2 linked regions of the Canis lupus familiaris genome follow. The protein of the gene in region 2 binds, or shares a complex with, the protein of the main gene of each other region. Links are inferred from orthologs where the notes say so. Each region holds a gene or a part of one and is shown on either strand. Other genes may lie near its edges. The genes, in order: KNSTRN and SPAG5.

Region 1 (12,809 bases), on a different chromosome or scaffold from region 2:
AGCCTAGAGGAAAAACATCTCAGTTGGTTAAGTGTCTGCCTTTGGCTCAGCTCAAGGTCCCAGGGTCCTGGGATCAAGGCCTGCTGCCTCTCCCTGCTACTTGTGATCTCTCACTCTCTTGCGCTCTCTAAAGAAAAAAAAGAAAAAAGGTCTTGATTAATGTACCTACTCCTTGCATTCCTTGACAGTAAAACTTGTGATTCCTGCCTATATGTTAATTTATAATCTTTTGGGGTGCCTGAGGGTTGCTCAGTTGATCAAGTGTCCAACTCTTGATTTCGGCTCAGGTCATGATCTCAGGGTTGTGGGATTGAGCCCTGCCTCAGGCTCTGCAGGGAGACTGCTGGAGATTCTCTCCCTCTGCCTCTCCCCCTGCTCTCTCAAACCTTAAAAAAAATCCATAATCTTTTCAGCTTTTACAAGATGTAAAAAAGGATAACACTGTAAAAACTGTTCATTCTCCGGGTGCCTGGGTGGCTCAGCTGGTTGTCTGCCTTTGAATCAGGTCACGATCCCCTCAGGATTGAGCCCCATGTTGGCTCCCTGCTCAGGGAAGAATCTCCTCCTCTCCTTCCCTTCTCTCTCTCTGACCCTCCTCCCTCCCACCTGCCCTTGCTCTCCTGCTGTTGCTTGCATGGGCTCTCTCAAATGAATAAAAAATCTTTAACAAATAAGCAGTTCATTCTCCAGAACACTTTCTTCAAGAGCATATTTTCCCAGGTAGCTGTCTTAACTTGGGCTCTAATAAAACTCCTTTTATTTTTTAGTGGGGATGGTGGCAGGGGTGGGGGCATAGAGCACAGATGGGGAAGGAGAGACAAGCAGACTGTGCTGAGCCCTGAGCCCAAAATAGGGCTTGGCCTCACAACCCTGAGATCATGACCTGAGCTGAAATCAAGAGGTGGCAGTTTAACCTACTGAGCCACCCAGGCACCCCTCCTTCTTACTTGTAGAGATTCTAAAAAGTTTGTTCATTTTATGTAGACAATTCCATTAGTGAATAATCGTAGTTCTTTAAAAACGAAAGTTTTTTCCTTTAGATTTATGTGTATTATTTTTTCAAATACCTACTAATTGTTGGATCTAACCACTTAAAATAGAACCATTAGTTACTTCTTTGGGGGTTATGTTATGGAGACACTAACTGGGGCTGCATCGTGAACTGAGAAAGTTCGTTAAGCTCTGGCCTAGATGATAAAAACCCACATTTCTTAGCCTGGACTTCAAGGATCTTCAAGACTTCTAACACCAAGTACCTTCCACCCCTGCTATTCCTGGCTCAAATCTTTCTCCAATATTTGTTTGTTGTTTGACCTTGGGTAAATCCACTTAACTTCTGAGCCTATTTTCCCTGGCTGTAAAAAAGAGATAATAGTGCTAACCTTGTGGTGGTTAATGAGGATTACCTGAAAAGTGCAGCAAGGAGTTATGTGTATATGCCTCTATATGACACATACACCATGTATTGGCATAGCGCAAGTGCCCCGTCAAGTGTCAGGTATAGTCCCCTCTCACCCTGAACCTCCAAACAAGCCCCAGTTCCCCTTACTTTCCCAAGACTCATCTGTATATCCCCTCAGCTTTTTATTCTGAAGCATTAAATGATTTTATTTTCTCCCTGGAGGTTCCAATGATACCCCCTCCTTGGGTTTAATTTGCTAGAGCAGCTCACAGGCTCAGAGAAACATTTTATTTTTTAAAAGAGATTTTAATTATTCATGAGAGACCCACAGAAGCAGAGACATAGAGGGAGAAGTAGGCTCCCTGCAGGGAGCCCGATGTGGGACTCAATCCCAGGACCCTGGGATCACTCTCTGAGCTGGAGGCAGATGCTCAACCACTGAGCCACAAAGGTGCCTCAAGAAACAGTTTACTTACGAGATTATCAGTTTACCACACAGGCTGTAATTCAGGAACAGTCAGGCAGAGGAGCTGCAGAGGGGAAGGGAAAGGAAGCTGCCTCGGCCTGAGCTTGTTCCTCTCTCTCCCCAAACCTCCATGTGCTCACCAACGTGGAAAGTTCTCAACTATCTAGCCAGCTTCTTCAAATTGCTCTTCCTTCAAGCTCCAGTCTCGCCCCTTTTCAAACCTTCCCCAACCAAACTAGTCCAGAGTTAATTACTAGAGGACACAACTATGTCACACGCACAACCCACTGTTAATCAAGTGTTGCTGTGTTATTGAACTTATATCACCTGCACATTGTTTTGCCAAATAGACTACAAGCATCTTTGAGATTAAGAATGCCATGCTAGGGATCCCTGGGTGGCGCAGCGGTTTGGCGCCTGCCTTTGGCCTAGGGCGCGATCCTGGAGACCCAGGATCGAGTCCCACATCAGGCTCCCGGTGCATGGAGCCTGCTTCTCCCTCTGCCTGTGTCTCTCATGAATATATAAAATCTTAAAAAAAAAAAAAAAAAAAAAAGAGTGCCATGCTACATTAAAGTTTCCTACAGCATCTGGCAAAGTGGAGGGTACAGATCACCATTTGTTGAGTTTATAGAACATGAGTTCATCTGGCCTCGGTATCAGATTAAGTGCCCAGAACACATGTACAAAAGGCAGATGGAGCTGGAGAGGTCGGAGGAGGGAGAAGGCAAGAGTGCACAAATATCAGCTGGTGGTACAAAGAACCGTGAGGCAAGGCCCCTTGGGAGCCCAGGCCACTAGAGAGCAGGGTTTCCGCACTGGGAAAAATGGGTAACAGGCATTGAGAGTTACATTCCCAGTTGTTAACGAGGGAAGCCTGGCAAGGAGGTCAAGATCCCACAGCTGAGTTCTTCCCCTCTCCTTCCAAGAAGGAAGTAGAACTTTTTCTTTTTTTGGCCAGAAATGCCAATTACAGATTCATTTGAGTAAATAACCTTTTAAGCTATAAACATGCTGAAAATGAGTAGAAGAAAATATTCAGCCATTGTCACTGGTGAGAATTATGTAACTGGGTTTCTCCGATAATTTCTGGGCTATAACCAACTATGCGAAGGTTTGTGTGTGAAGGCAAAGAAATTTAGCCCTGAAAGTCAGGGTGGGGGTGTTACTTGGCCCGATTGGGTGGTAGTCTCAATGCTTAAGGGGGGCTGGGGGGCGGGAAGCCTGGGTGGCTCAGCAGTTTAGCACCTGCTTTTGGCCCAGGGCGTGATCCTTGAGTCTCGGGATCAAGTCCCAGATTGGGCTCCCTGCATGGAGCTTGCTTCTCTCTCTGCCTAGGTCTCTGCCTCTCTCTCTCTCTCTCTCATGAATAAATAAAAACCTTAAAAAAAAAAAAAGGGAAGATAGCCAAAGTCTGCCTGGATGAACGAAGAAATGAAACAGAGCCATGCCTTTGGTAAAGCTGAGGGGAAGCCTGCCATGGACTTCAGCTGACCTAGGACATGGGCCAGGATTGGCTGTGCACATTGCAGCAGAAAACCAGGCTCAAGAATATAGGGAGGACACAGGCAGCTAGTGACACACGCCTGGGGGGTGGAGTCTGGCACCCACTGCTGTCAATAGGGGACAACCTCAGAAGACCAGCTACTGCTCCTGGAAGACAGCAGGGCTGGTGACAGAGAACTTAAGTAGAAGAAAAAATTCTGGGTTAGATTGAGGTTTTGAACTTCTCAACTAGATCAGGTCAAGAGCGTTCAATGGATATTTTTCAGTTAAAAGGCTTATTTTCATTTCTTAATGTTATAGTCAGGATAGTTACAGAAATATTTATTTTACAAGTAGCACTTAAAAAAAAGTGATTTAGATTAAAAGCTCCAAGGTGTATTATTTCAGGTAGGTGTTATTGCTATCTATACCTTCACCCCCATTTATTAAGCCATTTCAAGTAACTTCTTGTTCATTAATTTACAATGAGGTATAGAGCCCAACCAGGATGAGACAGAATGTGTTCCAAGTTCAAGGGGACAGCATGGCTTCTCAGTGATGTCTCCTGTAGAGCCTCTGTGCTCCACTGTACAATTAAGGTTTTCTTCTTACACATCTGAACATGACCTTTGGGATCCTCTGGCTGGCGTTGGTTTAGTCTCCTGATTCTAATGGCATGCTGCTTTGTGGCCTAGAAGGCTGATCCAAGCTTTTGGGGGCCCCTCTTGCCAGCCTCGATAATGTATGTGTGAGGTTCAGGAGAGCCCACCAGTCTAAGGGTGGCGCACGCTTGCCTAAACTGTCCTTAATCCTACGCAGAAAATGTTTCCATTCTGGGGATGGTGAGTCCTAGAAGGTCATGGCCAAGAAGCAGATGTCCTAAGTGGCTTCCCCTGGGGGAGCCATCTGGTCACTTGCTTTTTATCACATTTCTAATAGCTGCTCCATTTCCTCTAGGGCTGCTGTAAAATCATTTACTTGACTGTTACATAATGTCTGCTGTTCTAGGAACCGGGCCCTCTCTTCTTCTTTAATCTTCAACTTTACTTTTAAGGCCTGCATGGAAAGACATTCAAAAAGAACACCCACAAAACTTTGATTCACATGAAAGGCAACACCATTTCAGGACATTATGCTTCTCTTCCCTTGAGAAAGACTACTTGAATGCCAACAGACGTGAGATTTTCTATCTTAGATCTGTTCATCTGTGCTGGGTTTAGGAATGGTCTCTACTACAAACTCCTATATCTAAACAGGAGCCATGAAATTCTCTAGGATTCCGTGCCCTGTCCCATGATTCTTCCAAGCAATCGAAAGCAGTCCAGACTCAAGAATCCAGTTTCCTATTATAGGTTTCCTTGAGATATCAGGTTTCCAAAGCATAGCTTACACACACACACACACACACACACACACACACACGCCCACCTCCTACTTTGAGCAATTTAGCGTTTTGCATATTGCCTCAAGCTCTGTAGAGGTGAGTCTTTGGAACAGAAAATCAGTAATCAACTGAAGTCTGGGAATTTAGTTAATAGTAATGCATCCATGTTGGTTTTTTAATTTTGACAAATAGACTACAATAGTGCATGATGTTAATATTAAGGGCACTGAACTCCATTATCTTTGTAATGCTCCCATAAATCTATTATTACAAAGTAGTTTATCAAAAAGAAATAAATTGGTTAAGAAAAAGTCCTCCAGAGACCCGCCCCCTGTGGCAGGAAATGGTTATCCTGCCTCAGGATGACGTCTGCCTCTCACCTGTAACTCCTCCATCTGCTTTTTGGCTGTTTCATTAAAAAGCTTCAGCTCATCTTGCAATGTTTCTAACAGCAACTGAGAGTAAAGTACAACACAGTAACAAATCTTTACAGATATGTGAAAACTTTCCTCATATAAACTAACCTAACTTCTTCATAAGAAACAAATGTTAATTAGATGATCACCAACAACCCTTCTGTTCAGTCAGGCGTTCACTGAGCATCCCACACGTGCTGGGCTACTAGGCACCCCTGGAGTCCACAGGATGGACAGACCACCCCACATGCATGTGCTCTAGTTACATAGGCAATGTGGGCAAAGCAGCCATCGAAGAGGTGACTGCTAGCCTGTGGGGTCAGAGGAGGGCTTCCATAGTTAGTCTAGGATCCTAAGATGACAACTGACCTTTCTGGGGAAGAGGCCATAAAAGCTCAAAGACAATATCAAACAACTACCTTCCCACTTTGGGGAGCGAACCAAAGAGAAGCTGAATTTAATTCAGGCTGGATCTTTCCATCGTGCGGTTCTCAGTAAATGGGCAAGGGGAGAAATTTGGTAGAGAACTGAAAAGCCAGAAAGTTCTCTATACAGGTCCATCTTATCATGTGTCTTAACGTAGCATATTTTTAACTGAGACCCACTCATATCTGTAAGCACAAAGTCGCCTTCCAAGTAAAGTATGCTATTTTGAGTACACATCCACTGCTTTCTCCCACTATCATGGAAAACAAAGGCTGCTTCCTGGACTTTGCTGAGCACATGGCAGAGACCTTGGTTGGGCAGAGCCCCATGGTCACTTAGCTCTCCCCCACTCACACCCACACCCTCACCATAGAGTCTGTATGATCCGTGGTGGCTTCTTGCTGTGATGCTGAGGTCTCACTGCCTAAAACTGATGCAAATGACAAAGTCAGCCTTGCTTAGGGAACTGCACCTAAGACAAAAACTAAAAACCTCTCCAAAGACAAGAACAGGAATATTTATGAGGGAAACTTCTCAAAGAGTCTGGTCCCTGACTTTCTCCTAAGTTTTCACCTTGGCAGGGGCACCTACACCTTCCCTCAGAGCTTTATTTTACCTCCCTCCTCTCTAGCTTTGGATACGGTCAAAAGTTCATTCTGCTTTCTCTTTAGCTTAGCAGGAAATGTGTCCAAAGGAAATGTATAGGTTGGACTTTTTGGGTTTGTTTATAATACAAACAATTATTTTTATTTTTTAAAGTTTTTTAAACATTTATTTAATTTTAGAGAGGAGAGAGAGCACGTGTACATGTGGAGTGAGGTGAGGGGCAGAGGGAGAAGGAGAGGGAGAACCTTAAGCAGACTCCCTGCTAAACATGGAGCCTAACACGGGGCTTGACCCCAGGAGCCTGAGACACGGTTCAATCCCACCAACCTGAGATCATGAGCTGAGCCAAATCAAGAGTCTGACGCTTAACCAAATGAACAACCCAGAAGCCCGACAAAAAACTTTTTAAAGCTTTTGGGCTTAAAAAAGTTATTTTTGGTAAAATTAGTGCATATGCATTGTAAATTAAAATCATACAAAAACGTATATGGTGACTATAAAGAATATATCCTAAAATCACAGGTTAATCAGCAGCATTCGAAGTCAGTGTTTCTGAATTCAAAGAGGCCTGGGTTCCTTCCTGGGTATTTTCAGGCTCCTCACCTCATTCTGAAGCTCTTGTACAGTCTTTGGGCAATTACTTCTTCTACTCCTCCCTTTGCTACAAACTCTGCTCTCTAGGGACAGGGTCAGGATAGAAATCACATTTAACCATTATGAGTCTGCTGACGAACCAGGTTTAGGAGCCCTTGAAACAATATCATATCTGTCTTTTCCCATCTGGGAAAGTTAGTATTTGCTCTCTGCCTTGAAAGAAATAAAAGATTTCTGGTCTATTTGCAAGATGATACTTGGTGGCACCAAATGAATGGCATAAAATGTTCAGATAGGAGATAATCCTCCCTCCACAATAACTGAAATTCTGTTGCTTAAAGTCAACATCACAAGGGAACAAAGAAAAGCTCCTCCAGGGGCCCCTGGCTGGCTCAGTCAGTAGAGCTTGTGACTCTTGATCTTGAGGTTGTGAGTTTGAGCCCCAGGTTGGGTGCAGAGATTACTTAAAAATAAATCTTAGGGGGCAGCCCTGGTGGCGCAGCGGTTTGGTGCCGCCTGCAGCCCGGGGTGTGATCCTGGAGACCCAGGATCGAGTCCCACATGGGCTCCCTGCATGGAGCCTGCTTCTCCCTCTGTCTGTGTCTCTGTCCCTCCCTCTCTGTGTCTATGAATGAATAAATAAAATCTTAAAAATCAATCAATCAATCTTAGGGGCACCTGGGCGGCTCAGTCAGTTAAGTGTCTGCCTTCGGCTGAGGTCATGATCCCATGGGCTCCACATCAGGCAGGCTCCCTGCTCAGCTGGTGAGTCTGCTTCTCCCTCTCCCCACTCCCTGCTTGTGCTCTTTTGCTCTCTCAGATAAATAAAATCTTTTAAAAATAGTAAAATTAAATCTTAAAAAAAGAACTAAAAGATCCTCCAAATCTTCAGGGCTGTGCTAAGCAACCCTTGCACTAAACCGGTCAGCTAATGGGATGCTGGAATCCTGACACACCGTCCACAATCACCCCAGGAAATGGCAAGTGCACTGACTCCTCCTCCAAAGGCAACTGTGTCCCATCTCTTACCTGGGTTGAGGCCCTTGCTCTCCAAAATTGCCAAACAGTTATCCTGAAACTTCTCCAGCAGCTCCACCTTTTGAGTCAGGTCTTTCAGTTCTCCCTAGTGAGGTGCCATGCAGACAATCAGGCTGGTCCCGCTCTGCACGGGTGGTCTTTCCCGCCCTTGCTCCTTGTACTGCCATGGCCCAAGCCTGGCATCTTCTCTTCCTCCCTCCGGGCACCAGGCAATACAGTCTTCTTCCACCCACGGGGCCATCCCTCGGGATTCCACGCATTACCTAGTGCAGGGGTGACAGAGGTCCGGCAGGTCTCTTACCTGAGTTTCAGTCAACTTCTGGTGTAGCTGCTTGTTGACGGCCTCTAAGAGCTGATTCTTATCCTTGAGCTCTTCCTCTGATTTCTGCTTACTCAGCGGTTTGTAGCTGTAATGGTAAGTGTGCTTATAAGAAGAGGTGGAGGTGTTAAGAAAATGACTTGTGGGGGCAGCCCTGGTGGCGCAGCGGTTTGGCGCTGCCTGCAGCCTGGGGTGTGATCCTGGTGACCCGGGATCAAGTCCCACATCGGGCTCCCTGCATGGAACCTGCTGTGTCTGTGTCTCTGCCTTTCTCTCTCTGTGTCTATGAATAAATAAATACAATCTTTAAAAAAAAAAAAAAAAAAAGAAAATGACTTGTGGGGTCATACACACAGGGGTTCAAATCTTGGCTTCATTATATAGTGGTACAGGACCCTCAGTAAGTCACATAACCTCTTTGAGGCTTTGTTGCCTCATTTCTAGAATTAGGATAATACATTGCATAATATCACTATTGTGAAAAATAAGAGAATACCTGTATAATTCTTAGTACAGCTATTGACACATCATAGTAAATACTTAATAAATAATAGTCATTATCATCATCAATATTAAACCTTCTTTTCAGTGCCCTCAGAGTCTTTCTTGAATAGTACTTTATCTTCAGGACTTTTTTTTTTTTTTAAGATTTTATTTTTTAAGTCATCTCTACACCCAAAGTGGGTCTTGAACTTTGAACCTGGAGATTAAAAGTTGCATGCTGAGGGTACCTGGGTGGCTCAGTTGGTAAAGTGCCTGACTCTTGATTTCAGCTCAGGGTCCTGAGATTGAGCCCCACTGGGGCTCCGTGCTCAGCGAGGAGTCTGCTTGAGATTCTTTCTCCCTCTGCTCCTCCCCCGTGCTCTCTAAAATCAATCAATCTTTTAACACATGCCCAAATGATAGATTTGAGATTAGAACCTATTTCTATAAACTTTCCAGCTTGCATTATTTCTGTCCTCAGAACTACAGAACATCCAAGCTAGCCTCAAACAGAGATGGATCCTTCCCCAGGATTTCTGCCACCACCACAACCACCACCATCTCAGAGTCACTGACCACACAGTGCCTCCTAACCTGAAGGCTCACATTCTATTGATGGCCCCAAGCTGGGTTTGGTTTCCAATTAACAGTGGTCCTGGCATGGAGCCCAAAAAGCTCTTGTCTGGTTCTCAAGATGGGAGCATCACTGATCCTTGCCCTGACAGTGGTTCTCGAACCTGGCTGTGCCTCACCCCTGAAAATTCCACTCAGATTTCTTGGGGTGGCACCCAGACTGTAACACATGAAACAAACCCACGAGTGAGTGTGAGGCACAACCAGGACTGAGATCCACCACCTTAAAATGGTGGCCAACTCTCATTCACCTTGATGCTCACCTCTTTCTGATGTTCCTCCTGATGGCAGGGTCTGCAGCTTTGACCTGCCTAGAGAAGCAGTAACAAAGAAATCAGGATGTTCACTAGTCTTACTGCAGTGATCATTTTGCCATAGATACAAATACCTAATCATTATGTTGTACATCTGAAGCTAATATGATGTTTAAAAAAAACAACAAAGAGGGGCGCCTGGGTGGCTCAGTGGTTGAGCATAGGCCTATGGCTCAGGGCATGATCCCGGAGTCATGCATCGGGCTCCCTGCAGGGAGCCTGCATCTCCCTCTGCCCATGTCTCCGCCTCCCTCTCTCTTTCATGAATAAATCAAATCTTTTTTTTTTTTAATCAAATCTTTAAAAAACAAAACAACAACAAAGAAATCAGACACTTGTAGCATTGTTGTACGTGTGTTATGAACAAGGCAGAACAAAGAGCCTGGTCTTCTGAGGAAAAAAACAGGGATTACATACAATGCAAACAGCCTGAGAAGCTCTGAGAGCCTATGCCCTTTTGTCTCAGCCTAGGACTGTTGAAAAAGGCTTAATAGGGAATGGACTCCAACTCCTGACCCACCTCAACCACCCGACAGACCTGCTGCTCCTCACAATGGTGTGGCTATCTCATGTCAACCTGGCTCACAAGGGAACTGAGTAGAGGGACACACACTAGCTTGGGCAGGACTACGCTCAGACTGGCAATCTAAGCTAACGGGCAGCCCCATCCACCCTGACCACCAAGTAGGGCTGGTGTTTGGCCTTAATACTGCCATTTGCACACTCAGAGCAAGAGGTGAGAGAAGAAAGTCCCTGTTATCTTGACCCTCACTAGGCCTCTTCAGAACTGGTCAACACAGAGGGTTCTGACACACAACTGACTCGGGCTGCCCTGTGCTCTCAAGACTCCTATTTTCTAAACCTGACAATGAGCAATTTCTAGTAAGATGTTCTCCTCGGATACCAACAATCTCTCACCCATTCTCTCGTCTTGGCTTGACGATTTTTGTAACATCATTTTCTGAACCTCCTGAATGAAATCTGGAAGCATCCACTTCTTTGGATTTAACAGGTAAGAGGCTCTTAGAAGTGGCTCGAGTTTGTGTGTCTGCAAAGGAAAACAAGTGGGTGAAATCTCAAGCATTGTGACCCAACTGCTGCAACTAACCGTTCCGTTCCGGGTTGTCAGAACCCTGTACTTTCACGCTGGCCCATCTCAGTTTGTGAAGACTCATTCAGAAGAACACGGCTTCTAGCCTAATTGGAGATGGAAACCAAAATTCTTCAAAAATGATGGTGCAATATATTTGAGGATAGCTGAGAACTTGAGGATTCAGAAAACTGAATGGCCAGGTGGGTATAGGTGGGAAAGTGAATGTTGGTACAAGCAGAGAGCTAAATGGGAGGCAGCATGGCCATCAGCAGGGCAGCACCCAGCTGGAGTCCTTCTTCAGCAGCAGCGGAACCCACTGGAACCCACCGGAACCCACCCACCAGGCGAAGGTCCTCGCATTCTGGCACCAGGCACTCCACACCCTTTCCAAGGCTGCACTCAAGCTGCTGCAAGGTTCTCCTGTTTTTTTTTTTTTTTAAAGATTTTATTTATTCATTCATTCATTCATTCATTCATGACAGAGAGAGAGAGGCAGAGACACATGCAGAGGGAGAAGCAGGCTCCATGCAGGGAGCCCGACGTGGGACTCAATCCGGGTCTCTAGGATCACACCCCAGGCTGAAGGCAGCACTAAACCGCTGAGCCACCAGGGCTGCCCACAGGTCCTCTTTTAACTGTTAAGTTATTTTGACTGGACAGTCTCCCTAAATACCTAAGAGATGTCTTTGTGTCCCCAGTGCCTCGCAGAGTATCTGGCAGAGTCACAGCGGTTCAGCACCCACTTGTTGAGTAAATGGAATGCTTCACAGCTCCCCGGGTTACTTCGCAGACCATTTCTAAATCATCTCCTCTAGTCTTCTTTCCTTGCCTTTTTTTTTCTTTCCCTTTTCCACGCTGATTGCCTTTACTGCCAGCCCTTTTAATTTGTTTGTTATTAAGTCCAGAGCTTCCCTATTTGGCATTCTGTTTTGATCTTGCTAGGGTAACTGCCAGATAAGCTGAGAAATGGCCCTGCCAGGACACTCTTCTTCCCTAGTCCTTATGCCAGCCCTCTACCACACTGTCTTTCTACCATGTATATTCCATGGCAAATTCAAGGAACTTGTTCTGGAGTCATGTACCGCTCCTCCATTGGCCACCCCAAACCACTCCCATGGGTTTCCCAGTTTAAACGTTCACTTTGTTCATCCTTCAGCTTGGCCTAAACTAAGAGCTGGAATGATTAAATCAGATTGAAGAAATGCGGTACAAAGCATTGACTGGATCACAGGGATCAGGAAATTTTGTATCTGTATTTGACACAGATTTTATTCTGATGACTTTAGCTACACAGCAGTTTGGAATAAATATGATTTCTCAGGCTAACAAATTGTTTCATTTATAGGTACACTCACTGGGGACTTAAACCCTATTTTTCTGTTCTCTTACCCACAAAGCAATATTGGAAGGGTTCTTTTTGAGGTCTCTGTCTGAAGTAAGCATTTTTTTTTTTTAATCTATTTATTTTATTTTTTAAAGTAGGCCTCACATCCAACATAGGGCTTGAACTCACAACCTGGTGTTTAGGAGTCACATGCTTTACCAAGTGAGCCAGCCAGGCACCCCAGGTCTCTGTCTGAAGTAAAAAATAATGTTGGGGGGAACACAGTTACCTCCTCTTTCAAGTATTAGTAAGTCATACATGGCTACCCCAAGGAGAAGGTGTTAACAATAAGTTGATTAAAATTACCTTTCTTCAAGGGACACCTGGGTGGCTCAGTGGTTGTGTGCCTGCCTTTGGCTCAGGTCATGATCCTGAGGTCCCGGGATGGAGTCCCACATTGGGCTCCCCACAGGGAGCCTGCTTCTCCCTCTGCCTATGTCTCTGCCTCTCTCTCTCTCTCTCTCTCTCTCTCTCTCTCTCTCTCTCTCTCTCATGAATAAATAAATAAAATCTTAAAAAAACATTACCCCTCTTCATTGACTGGAATCAGTTCTAATAATCTGTACTTGCTAGAGCCTAAGGACTTCATTATAGGAAAAACTTAGGATTTAACAAAGACTGTCTTCTTGAAATAAGAAATGCTAAGGAGAACTGGATGGTTGGTCAAGGTCTACACTTTCTAACTTTCAATTCTTTTTACATATGTATGTTATATAGTCAAAAAAAAAAAAACCTGGGCGACAGCCTTAAAATATTCAACTACTGA
Region 2 (12,809 bases):
ACTATTAATAAAGTCAATGGACAAAAGCAAATTTTAAAAAATTCATAATGTGATGACATCACAAACCCTTGCAAATTAGAACAGACATAACCTATTTTTTAAAAAGGGCAAGGAAGGGATCCCTGGGTGGCGCAGCGGTTTGGCGCCTGCCTTTGGCCCAGGGCGCGATCCTGGAGACCCGGGATCGAATCCCACATCAGGCTCCCGGTGCATGGAGCCTGCTTCTCCCTCTGCCTGTGTCTCTGCCTCTCTCTCTCTCTCTCTGTGACTATCATAAATAAATAAAAAGAAAAATTAAAAAAAAAAAAAAAAAAAAAAGGGCAAGGAATATGAAATGATGAATCAATTACATCTATATCGTTGACACAGAAGGGTCTTTACTAGGGGCATCTGGCTGGCTCAGTTGGTAGAGCATGCCACTCATGATCCTGGGTTGTGAATTCAAGCCCCATGTTAGGAGGGAGTAGAGTTCACTTAAAAAAAAAAAAAAAGAAGAAGAAGGCTCTATATAAGACATTGAATGAGGGGGAAAAATGCAGAAGTATAAGAAATGGTGTAATTTTTGTAAAGACTTCAATACTTTCTTCCCTTTCATGTGTGTCACAGAGAATGAAAAAATGGGAAAGAGAAGTACAAGTGGAGAAAAAAGACACTGGCCCTCAATCCCAGAGACCCCATTCTACATATTAATTAATTTTAGGGGAGAAAATGTGTGTATAAAATAGACATACAGAACCTGTGTATGTGTATGCATATGTTTTACAAAGGTGTACACACTATTGATTACCTCAGGCAGGTAGAATGGAGGGGGGAGGCTTTGCCTTTAAAACACGCTTGCATTGCATTGTTTCACTTGCTATAACAGGCATCGATTATTTTTATAATTTGAAAACCACCAAATTTGGGATGCCTGGGTGATTCAGGGATTGAGCGAATGCCTTTGGGTCAGGGCATGATCCTGGAGCTCCGGGATTGAGTCCCATATCGGGCTCCCTGCATGGAGCCTGCTTCTGCCTCTACTACCTCTACCTCTGCCTGTGTCTCTGCCTCTCTCTGAGTCTCTCATGAATAAATAAAATCTTAAAAAAAAAAAACCCAAGTTTTAAAAATTATGCAAAACAATACTAATATTCTGTTTGTTACCTATTTATAATAGTATTTTCCCACTCATCTACTCTTCCATATCTGTCCTGATTTGCTGCTGGAAGCACCATATCGTTTTGGCTACTCACCTAGCTCTGACATACCACCTGCGACAAAGAATAAGCATTCCAATCGACACATTTCTATAATACAGGTTTTTATCGGGACACTTGGGTGGCTCAGCAGTTGAGCATCTGCCTTCGGCTCGGGGCATGATCCTGGGGTTCCAGGATCGAGTCCCACGGTGGGCTCCCTGCATGGAACCTGCTTCTCCCTCTGCCTGTGTCTCTGCCTCTCTCTCTCTCTGTGTCTCTCATGAATAAATAAATAAAATCTTTTAAAAAAATACAGGTTTTTACCAGTAGCACTTAGTTTTGTTTTGGTTCTTCTGCCACTTTCCACTCTTATTTTATTTGTGAATCTTTTTGATCGACCAGAAGTACATAGACCTTGGGATTCCCTCTGCGAGTCTTGGGAAACCCCAGGCTCAAGTTTGTGTTTTTACCTTGTCTTTCTTCCAGTTTTCCATTCAAGCAACTGTTATCTGTAGGCTGGGACTGTCATGTTTCTAGAGCAGTGCTGTCCAATAGAAGTATAATATAAGCTCTGTAAGTCATTTAAATTTGCCAGTAGCCGCATTAAAAACGTAAAAAGAAACAAGTGAAATTAATGTATTTTACTTAACCCAATACACCTAAAATATAATTTCAACATGTAATCAATATTAAAAAATATTCTATATTCTTTTTTACATACAAAGTCTTCGAAACCCAGTTTGTATTTTACACCTATAAACATCTCAGTTTGGACTAGCCACATTTGAAGTGCTCAAGAATCACATGTGGCTAGTGGCTATGCTATCAGACCACAGGGTTCTACGGAAGCTCATGCCTACAGTTCATGACAGATTATAGTTCTTCCTCCTTGTATGATTTCCTTTTCCAACTTCATTAAGACTTCAGAGTGTAAGTAAGGTACAGTGAGTGTCGCAAGGAACACACTTTATCACAGACTCTAACTCTGAGTACTTACCGTTAGGCTGTTTCCAAAAATCAATTCCACCTTCCATGGCTAGATTTTCCACGGAGGGGATTCAAGCCGACAGAAGAATATAGTCCTATAGTTGGTGGCGTGGTGGGTTGAAATCTCGACTCTGCCATTTACTACCGGCGGGGCATTGGGCCAATTTTATTAGGGCTTAGGTTCTGGTCTGCAAAAGGGTGGTATTTATACCTACTTCATAGGTCCTTAGGAGGGTTCAAGGAGTTACTATAGAGAAAGCATTTGGAAGTGCCAGGTACATAATAAATGTTCAATACTTGCTAGCTGTCGTTCCCGTAAACTTGTAGCAGGCCCTGAGGTAAGTCCCAGGGAAACACGAGACAGTCCGAAGAGCCTACATTCCAGCTCAAGGCCACCTCAGGCCACCCCGACACAGGGCCTACGCGCGGACCCACCTGGCCTCGTTCGTTACAGGACTTTCCATCACTTCTCCCTTCCGCGCACCCCAAGGCTCTTTCCGGTCTGGCTAAGGCGCCAGGTAACTAAGGCAGACCCGAGGAGAGGCCTCCTCAGGCCAGGGAACCGAGACAACTTTTCTGACAGGGTGTGAGGGTGGCCCACTGCAAGCGGGAGGTAGCTGACTCTCCAGCTGTCTGGGTACCCGCGCCGAGGTGAGGCCGCAAAGCCGGCCTGGCCCGGGGTGTGCTTCCAGCCCCTCAGCCGGCTCCTGCGCCGCGAGTGCTGTTGGTGGGTGTCCGTCCAGCCAGCGGGCGCGCGCCGACCGCCGGGCGGCGGGGGCGTGGCCTGCCCTAGCCCCGCCCCCGCCCGCCGGGCTCGAGCCCGGAGCGGACCGCCAGGCCGACGCGCCCAGGCCCCCGCAGCCAATCGTGAGGCGCGGCGCAGGTTCAAATAAAGACGGCGGGTGAACGTGGCGTCTGCTCTTGGGTGTGAGAGGGGATCGATCGGCGTTCTGTAGTGGAAATGTGGCGGGTGAAAGCGCTGAGCGTTAGCGGGTCGCCTTCGCCCCAACCGGTGAGCGGGAGAGCCTCAGGGACGGAGACAACTGGGCCGGGGTTTCGGGGCGGGGACGCCGGCAACGCCGAGGGTCCCGGAAAGCTGGGCCCAGCCCGGGGAAGGGGCTGTGTATGGAGTCTGTTACTGGTTCTGCCGCTTCGGCGCGACTGGGGTGGAAGTCTGCCCTTCTTCCTATTGCCCCAGGACCCACTTCTTAGGGGAGAAGGGCCGGGCTGGCCCAGCGCAGGCATTCTCACACTCTCTGCTTTCTCAGGGAAAACCAGCTATGAGAACTCCTCTCCGAGAACTTGTCCTGCAGCCCGGTGCCTTCACCACCTCTGGAAAAGGGCCCCCGGTATGCCACTCGCCAACCTCTTCACTGTACAAGCTGGGACTGCAGGTGAGATTCGCCTGGCCGGCTTCTCGATTGGGCTCTTTGCCGAGGTCGAGCGCTCAGAGGAACAGAGGGCCAGGGCTGGAACGTAATTAACCATAATGAAGTCTTCTACCTTAGTGACATCCATTTACAGCTATTCAGGCCAACAGAGAGGTGCCCTAGGGTGGTTAAAGGAAATCCACCGAGAACCTAGACCTCTATTTAGCTGTTAGTTTCTATCACCTCCTCCCTCATTAAACCTTTACCGAACTACTGAGAAATACCATCATTTTGCTTAGTGGTTTTCCCCTAACGTGGGCTCACACGTAGACATCAGTCAGCTGCCATAGTGAGGCAATATTCACATCCATTCCAAGAGTTAATCAGAACTCTTCCTGGGATCAAGTTACCCCACTGAAAGTCAAGGTACTTGGACCATCTTTTAAACTAGCCCATTGTAGAATTGCCCTGTTGAGTTGTGCTTTTGTCAAAAGTCTTGAGAGAAGTAGCCCTGTAGAAACTGCTTTTCAGTTGTTGTAAAAACTTGCCAGAGAAGGAAACTAACTGACCCTTCTAAAAGTTCCTTGAAGAAAAAAAAATTAGATTTTATTTATTTATTTGAGAGAGAGACTGAGAGAGCACAAGCAGGCGGAGGGGCAGAGGAAGAGGAAGAAGCAGAGGCCAGGGGCTGAGCAGGGAGCCCAACATGGGGCTTGATCCCAGAACCTTGGGATCATGACTTGAGCCAAAGGCAGATACTTAACTGACTGAGCCACCCAGATGCCCTGAAGAAATTTCTTTAAGAGCTTAACTGCCTGGAAAATTGTCTTCATAAAGAAATTGCTGTCCTTTTCTCTTTCTGATACAGAGAGCTACCTGTAGTTTGCCATATTTTTCTTCTTGCTCTGGCTTCTAGAAAGCTCAGGGTCAAATTTGATCATCAGATAAAGCTACGATTACTCCTTGAAATAGGAAGATTTGCTTCCTTTTTCTTTTTTGACTGTGATTTTGTATTTCATTAACCGGATCTATTTGTTCTTTTTCATGCAGTCTGAATTATTTTTAATATTTTTATTTTTAGTTATATTCATTTTTTCTTTAGTAGGCTCCACAGCCAATGTAGGGCTTGAAGTCATGACCCCAAGTTCAAGAGTCGCATGCTCCACTGACTAAGCCAGCCCACAGCCCCTTTGCAGTCTGAATTATTTCTTGGAGGAGATAGGATATAAATAAAATAGATTATAGGAGGAAAAAAGAATGTATAAAAACATGATATCCTGAATAACAGATGTATGAAGATGGTGGCCTTTCTTGAAAACAATCTAACACCTACTGGTCAGTAGAACTTTCTGGGAATCACCTGGGTGGGTTAGTTGGATAAGCATCTAACTCTTAGTTTTGGCTCAGGTCATCATCTCAGGGTCCTGTGATTGAGCCCAAGTGGGCTCCTTCCTTAGTGTGAAGTCTGCTTCCCCTCTCCCTCTCTTTTTGCCCCTCACTCTGCTCTCTCTCTCTCACATAAATAAGTAAATCTTGGAAGAAAAAGAGAGATCTTTATGGGATGATGGAAATGTTTGATAACATGGGCTGTCCAATATGGTGGCTATGAGTTATGTGGCTGTTGAGCACTTGAAAGGTAGTTAATGGGACTGAGGAAGTAAATTTTATTTAATTTTAATTTACCATATTAAACCGTACAGCTTAGGTAGAAAAAAAAAAAGTACTTAGTGGGAACTTATCTTCATACACTTGATCTTAGCCAAAAGGCCAAGAAGTGATAGGGAACTGATCTTCATAGAACTTATAAAATTGAACCACAGCCTTTTAATCACAGTAGCAGAATAGAATGGAATTTAGGTCTCCCTTTTGCTACCTTCTGATATAGTCAGCTTCACAGACAAAAAGAATTTTTTCCCCAACAAAATACTATTACTTTTGCTTTTTTAGTTTTTTTTTTTTTAAAGATTTTATTTATTTATTCATGAGAGACAGAGAGAGAGAGAGGCAGAGACACAGGCAGAGGGAGAAGCAGGCTCCATGCAGGGAGTCTGACATGGGACTCGATCCTGGGTCTCCAGGACCACACCCTAGGCCGAAGGCAGTGCTAAACCACTGAGCCACCTGGGCTGCCCTTGCTTTTTAAATTTTGATTAATTATATAATAGATGATCATTGTTTGAAACATTCAAACAATATATAAGAAAGAAGGTATGTTTTTGCCATCTTAGATAACTATCATATTTGAAAATCCTTTCTTGCCTTTCTTTTATTTATTTATTTAATTTACTTTTTGAGAGAGAGAGAGAGAGAGAGAGAGAGAGAGAGAGAAGGAGAGATCGTGCCCATGCATACACATGTGTGAGCGGCAAAGGGAGAGGGAGAGAGAAAATCCTGAGCAGGCTCCATGCCCAACTCAGAGCCCCATGCAGGACTCAATCTCACCACCTTGAGATCACAACCCAAGGGGAAACCAAGAGTTAGTTGCTTAACCAGCTGAGCCACCCAGGTACCCCCTTTCTTACATTTCTTTTGTGAATCTGTGTGTATGTACATACACACTCATCTATATATTATTGTAATATATTTTTATAAAGGCAATTTTTTTCTTTTTTCTCTGCCTCTTCCCTTTTTTTTTTTTTTGTTTCTTGTTTTTTGTTTAGCTCCATGTTTCCTATCTCTCTTACCCCTCTTCTGGAATTAATTCTTTCCACACATGCCTTGCCTTTCCCAAGTAACCAGTCCATTTTAACATCCTGATTTATATCCTTCCATATTTTCCTCTGTGTTCTTTTAATAATATGCAAACATACATTATTATTTTATTGATAAGATCACAACATATGAGTCAGTGCTCATTATTTGACGTTGCCCTTTTTCCTAGGGTCCATGGATCTCTGTGGGCCCCAGCAAAACATTACACTAACTCTGGTCCCCAATTTCTCATCTGTCCCAGAAGAGAGAAAATCTTGGAGCAACTCTAGAGTTTGGCAGAGCTTACCTAGGGATCTCTCCTATCCATTCCTCTAATGGAATTAGGACTGAAGATGAGTGGGGTCACATTTAAGCTACCATCACCTCCAGGATATGGATAGATTATCTCAGCCTTGTTTGTATTGTAGGCTGATTCACTTGCAAGGACATAAGATGGGTTCCCAGCTTTAGTTAAAGTTTAGTTAGGTTTATTTATTTATTTATTTAATTTTATTTTAAAGATTTTATTTATTTATTCATGAGAGACACAGAGAGGCAGGCTCCATGCAGGGAGCCCGACGTGGAACTCAATCCTGGGTCTCCAGGATCAGGCTCTGGGCTGAAGGTGGCGCTAAACTGCTGAGCCACCCAGGCTGCCCTAGTTAGGTTTAGTTTAGGGTTTCTTTAGTGAGAGCAGGGCATAGCCAAGTCTTTACTTAAGCAGAGGTAATGAAAAATCTTCCTTTGGGACACCTGGGTGGCTCAGAGGTTGAGCATCTGCCTTCGGCTCAGGGCATGATCCCAGGATCTGGGATCAAGTCCTGCACCAGGCTCCTTGCATGAAGCCTGCTTCTCCCTTTGCCTATATCTCTGCCTCTCTCTCTCTGTGTGTCTCTCATGAATAAATAAAATCTTGAAAAAAAAGGAAAGAGGAAAATCTTCCCTTGAGTTTAGACAGTATTCTGTACTCATAATTGTAGGTTGGGAACCTGAATTGACTGCCTTGGCCAACTACTTTTGTTTTCTTTGGCAGGAAGATAGCAACACTGCATCTCCACTGGATTTTGTCAATGCCAAGAGGACAGACTCCTCTTCAGAACAGTTCAGCCATCCATCAAAGTGCCTGGAAGCTTGTCATCGTGAATCAGATGAACAGTCTCTAGATTTGAATCCCCAAACCAACTCTACTCCCAGAATATCTGAGGAAGCAGTAGATCCACTGGACAACAGTGTGTTTAAAACCATGTTCCTTGTACCCTCTCCAGTGGGGCAGCAGCAAGATGTCACACTTGAGGCTCATTTAGATACCATGGCAGAGACAAATAACACCTCTCCAGATGAGCCTTTGAACCCAGGAGATTTGCTAAGAGAGGGGGTGGCGGCCTGCCTAGAAGACAGCCTTAAAGAAGTTGTTCCTACTATGCCTGAGAAACCTACATTTCAGCATCCTCCATCCCACATCCTGGAGTATCTACCAAATACCTGTTCTGAGCAACAACCACACTGCTCCAAAGAATGCTTTAGGGGCAGTAGGACTGAGGCTGTGGTTGAGGACTTAGTCCCTTCTGAAAGTAATACCTCCTTGCCTTCCTCCATGTTCTGGCTCTCCCCTTCAACTGACTTAGCAACAGATTTCCTTGTCAGTCATGTGGACCCAGGGGAGGAAATTGTAGAGCACAGATCTGTAGAGGAAAAAGAACTTAGCTTTCCCATACTCCCGGAGGAGGTTGAACTAGGAGATCAAGCACTTGTCTCAAATATGGAAGCTACTCCATTCACATGCCTGACCCCAAATCCAAGAGAAATGGAATCCCAGACAGCTGCAGGCCCAACAGTAGAAGATACTGGTAGGGTTCTCATCTCTGATACAGGGCCTTGGATGTCTCCACTGGCCTGGCTGGAAAAGGATATAAATACTTCAGTCATGCTGGAAAATCTCCGCCAGAGCTTATCTCTTCCCTCTATGCTTCGGGATACTGCGATTAGCACTACCCCTTTCCCTACCTGCTCTGTAGGGACTTGGTTTACTCCCCCAGTAGCACAGGAAAAGAGTACAAACACCTCCCAGACAGGCCCAGCAGGTGTCAAGGATGGTACTTCTGAGACAGAGCACCTCCTATGGGGGTAAGTGTCCCTATATCTTTGTGCCTCCTGGGCCTCATTAGCCTGGACCTGCTGTGCCCCTCTCTTCCCCTTTCTTCTTTCTTCTCTTCTCATATTGTTCTCTTGCCACAGCAACCGTCCTCTAGATCTGACTGCCTTATCTCGACACGACCTGGAAGATAACCTGCTGAACTCTCTTGTCATTCTGGAGGTTCTCTCTCGCCAGCTGCGGGACTGGAAGAGCCAGCTGACTGTCCCTCACTCAGAAGTTCAGGACAGTAGCACACAGACTGGCACATCTCCCGGTGGGGTATGAATGTTCTTCTTCCCAGTGGGCCCTCTTCCTTAGAATATGTGTAAAAGGTGATGATCTGGATAATCCCTTAAAGCTGTGGGTACTCATTTATACCCGTGGGATACATCAAGATTTTCCAAGGGAATATAAGCCAGGAAAGTTTTATTTATTCATGAGAGACACACAGAGAGAGGCAGAGACATAGGTAGAGGGAGACTAGGGTCCTCAAGGGGAACCTGATGTGGGACTTGATTCCAGGACTCCAGGATCATGCCCTAAGCCGAAGGCAGATGCTCAACTGCTGAGCCACCCAGGTGTCCCAAGCCAGGAAAGTTTTATTTTTTTTTATTTTATTTTTTTAAAATATTTTATTTATTTATGATAGACCTAGATAGAGAGAGAGGCAGAGACACAGGCAGAGGGAGAGACAGGCTCCATGCCGGGAGCCCGATGTGGGACTTGATCCCGGGGCTCTAGGATCCCACCCTGGGCCAAAGACAGGCACTAAACTCCTGAGCCACCCAGGGATCCCCAGGAAAGTTTTAAAGGAGTCAGTTTCGGGACACCTGGGTGGCTCAGCGGTTGAGCCATGCAGGCGTCCTCCACATGTACTCTTGACTAATTTCTTTTCTTTCCTACTTCCCCATTCTCAATTGCCCCTGTCCACTTTACTAACAAACAGTGTATTTACTACCTATCTTGAATCTTACATTGTCAAGGAATAGTAATCAAAGGACAATTGAAAATATTTGTGTCCATGCTAAGAAAGCAAATGACTATGATGATTATGTAACATATCATTTTTGCATGCTTTCAATGAAATTGAAGGAAGACTTTAGTTATATTTGTGGATCATTAAACATTTTGACAGAAGTTCAATATGAGATTTTTGGCATGTATCTCCAAAGGAGCGCCTAGAATTGGGTGATGTGCCCTTTTCTTTTCCTCCATTCTTACTTATTCCCATTATTTATTTATTTATTTATTTATTTTTTAAATTTTTTTATTTATTTATGATAGTCACAGAGAGAGAGAGAGAGAGAGAGAGAGAGAGACAGGCAGAGGGAGAAGCAGGCTCCATGCACTGGGAGCCCGATGTGGGACTCGATCCCGGGTCTCCGGGATCATGCCCTGGGCCAAAGGCAGGCGCCAAACCGCTGCGCCACCCAGGGATCCCCTATTCCCATTATTTATATGAGGATTCTCAGTGCTTAAATCTCATAAGAAAGGAAAATCAGCATGGAATTGTTGCTGAGCCATGTCTTAGTATAGGCATTACAGTACTCCACAGAAACATGAACTAATAAGAAGCACCATCCATTTTTTTAATAGATGATTTGCAATAAAATTTTACTGACTAAAATGGATTTCTGTTGTTGCAGATATATTGATTAATAATAATAGATTTTATATTATAGATATATAGAGATACTAAAATTTGTTACATTAGGATAAAATTCTGAGAAGAGTAAAAATACAGGTTCAAGGAGAAAAAGGAATGATAAAAAATTTCTTACTTTTGAAAGATGTATTTATTTGAGAGAGAGAACATGAGCACATGGAGGGGCAGAGGGAGAGGGAAAAGGAAAGAAATGAACTCAGACACCCCACTGAGGGTGGACCCTCACGCAGGGCTTGATCTCACAACCCTGAAATCATGACCTGAGCCAAAGTCAAGTGACTGAGCCATCCAGGGGCCCCAAAATGTCTGACTTTTAGGAAGAGCTTGTTTGTGCATTTTTTAAAAGGATTTATTTATTTGAGAGAGAGAGTGCACACAAGCAGGGGCAGAGGGAAAGGGAGAGAGAATCCTCAAGTGGACTTCCCGCTAAGTGTGGAGCCTGATGCAGGTCTTGATCCCAGGACTCTAAGATCATGACCTGAGCTGAAATAAAGAATTGGACACTTAACCAACTGAGCCACCCAGGAGCCCCTGTTTATACGTTTTTTGATGGTATCAAATAGGTATTAAATCATTATGGTAGGGATCCCTGGGTGGCTCAGCGGTTTGGCGCCTGCCTTTGGCCCGGAGCGTGATCCTTGAGTCCCAGGATCAAGTCCCACGTCAGGCTCCCTGCATGGAGACTGCTTCTCCCTCTGCCTGTGTCTCTGCCTCTTTCTCTCTCTCTATCTCTCATAAATAAATAAATAAAATATTAAAAAAAAATTATGGTATATGTACTATTTATACTGTTGGATATACTTAAGAGTGATTTAACAGTTTTATTTCAAACTATCAAGATTTATTTATTAAAATTTATTTATTTGTTTGAGAGAGAGTGAACGAGCGAGTGAGGGCGCTGAGTGGGGAGCCTGATGCTGGGCTCAATTCCAGGGCCCTGGAATCATGACCCGAGCTGAAGGCAGACATTTAACCAACTAAGCCATTCAGGTGCCCCTCAAACTATCAATATTTATAGTATGGTTTGAAATTACAGCCTTTGTAATAATTTAAACCTCAAATACTCAGTCTTGGGACGCCTGCGTGGCTCAGTGGTTGAGCGTCTGCCTTTAGCTCAAGGTGTGATAGCAGAGTCCCAAGATCTAGTCCTACATTGGCTCCCTCCATGGAGCCTGCTTCTCCCTCTGCCTATGTCTCTGCCTCTCTGTGTCTCTCATGAATAAATAAATAAAACCTTTAAAAAAGAAAACAAAACAGTACTCAGTCTTTTGGGGGTTGCATAGGTGGCTCAGTTGATTAAGCATTTGTCTTTGAGTCAGGTTGTGATTTTGGGTCCTGGGATCAAGCCCCATATCAGGCTTCCTCCTCAGTGGGGAGTCTGCTTCGCCCTCTCCCTCTGCCCCTCTCCCCACTCATGTTAGAGCTCTCTCTCTTGCTCTTTCTCGCAAATAAATTAAAATCTTAAAAAATACATTTAGTCTTTTTTTTAAGAAGATTTTATTTATTTATGAGAGACACAGAGAGAGGCAGAGACGCAGCAGAGGGAGAAGCAGGCTCCACGAGGGGACCCCGATATGAGACTTGATCCCAGGACTCAGGATCGAGTCCCACACCAGGCTCCCTGCAAGGAGCCTGCTTCTCCCTCTGCCTGTGTCTCTGCCTCTCTCTGTGTCTCTCATGAATAAATAACTAAAATCTTTAAAAAGAAAAAAAAAAGATAGATGTCAACCACTGAGCCACCCAGGCACCTCAATATTCAGTCTTTCAAAGTTATTCTGGAGATATGAAAGGAAAACAGTTTATTTTATTTTATTTTTATTTTTATTTTTATTTTTATTTTTATTTTTTTTTTAATTTTTTTTATTTATGATAGTCACACAGAGAGAGAGAGAGAGAGAGAGAGAGGCAGAGACACAGGCAGAGGGAGAAGCAGGCTCCATGCACCGGGAGCCCGACGTGGGATTCGATCCTGGGTCTTCAGGATCGTGCCCTGGGCAAAAGGCAGGCGCCAAACCGCTGCGCCACCCAGGGATCCCAGGAAAACAGTTTAAAGACCACTGTTCTTGGGGCACCTGAGTGGCTTGGAGGTTGAGTGTCTACCTTAGGCTCAGATCATGATCCTGGGGTCCTGGGATAGAGTCCCACTTCGGGTTCCCCATCGGGAGCCTTCTTCTCCCTCTTCCTGCATCTCTGCCTCTCTCTCTGTGTGTGTCTCTTGTGAATAAATAAATAAAATTTTTAGGAAAAAAAAAAAAGACCACTATTCTAGAGGACTCTGGTTGTGATAGCATAAGCTGAGGAAGGAAGGGAATGGTATCCAGGGAGGAATTGAGAGCCTCAGTCCTGTGGCCTTTGAGGTAATGGGTGGCTGCTGCTAAGAGGAGATGGTCTCCAAATGCCCAAAGACCTTGAGTTGAAAATATTCTCAAAATAATGACTATCTTTTGCCAAAATCCTGACCTTGTTCCCCATCCCTGAGTTGACCTCGTACCCTCTTTCCCTGAAGCTCGCCAAATCCCTTTGTCTTTTTTTTTTTTTTTTTTAATTTTTATTTATTTATGATAGTCACACAGAGAGAGAGAGAGAGGCAGAGACATAGGCAGAGGGAGAAGCAGGCTCCATGCACCGGGAGCCCGACGTGGGATTCGATCCCGGGTCTCCAGGATCGCGCCCTGGGCCAAAGGCAGGCGCTAAACCACTGCGCCACCCAGGGATCCCCATCGCCAAATCCCTTTGGATGCCACTGAGGCAGAGCCAAATAGAGGCAATGATAGCACCGGCTG

Evidence for each region.
Region 1: SPAG5 (region 2) and KNSTRN share a complex: the UniProt entries of both Homo sapiens proteins name them as parts of the astrin (SPAG5)-kinastrin (SKAP) complex. The link is inferred for Canis lupus familiaris from reciprocal best matches to the Homo sapiens genes SPAG5 and KNSTRN.

What each region holds. Positions count from the first base shown.
Region 1 is NC_049251.1:7,849,430-7,862,238, reverse strand, and holds the end of KNSTRN (small kinetochore-associated protein), read right to left. Parts: intron 10,615-12,809; coding exon 10,485-10,614; intron 9,564-10,484; coding exon 9,516-9,563; intron 8,225-9,515; coding exon 8,119-8,224; intron 7,903-8,118; coding exon 7,809-7,902; intron 6,010-7,808; coding exon 5,948-6,009; intron 5,193-5,947; coding exon 5,118-5,192; intron 4,410-5,117; coding exon 4,278-4,409; 3' UTR 3,672-4,277; downstream 1-3,671. UniProt on the Homo sapiens protein: Essential component of the mitotic spindle required for faithful chromosome segregation and progression into anaphase.
Region 2 is NC_049230.1:42,766,706-42,779,514, reverse strand, and holds the start of SPAG5 (sperm-associated antigen 5), read left to right. Parts: upstream 1-3,009; 5' UTR 3,010-3,126; coding exon 3,127-3,177; intron 3,178-3,433; coding exon 3,434-3,559; intron 3,560-7,259; coding exon 7,260-8,350; intron 8,351-8,461; coding exon 8,462-8,639; intron 8,640-12,809. UniProt on the Homo sapiens protein: Essential component of the mitotic spindle required for normal chromosome segregation and progression into anaphase. Required for chromosome alignment, normal timing of sister chromatid segregation, and maintenance of spindle pole architecture.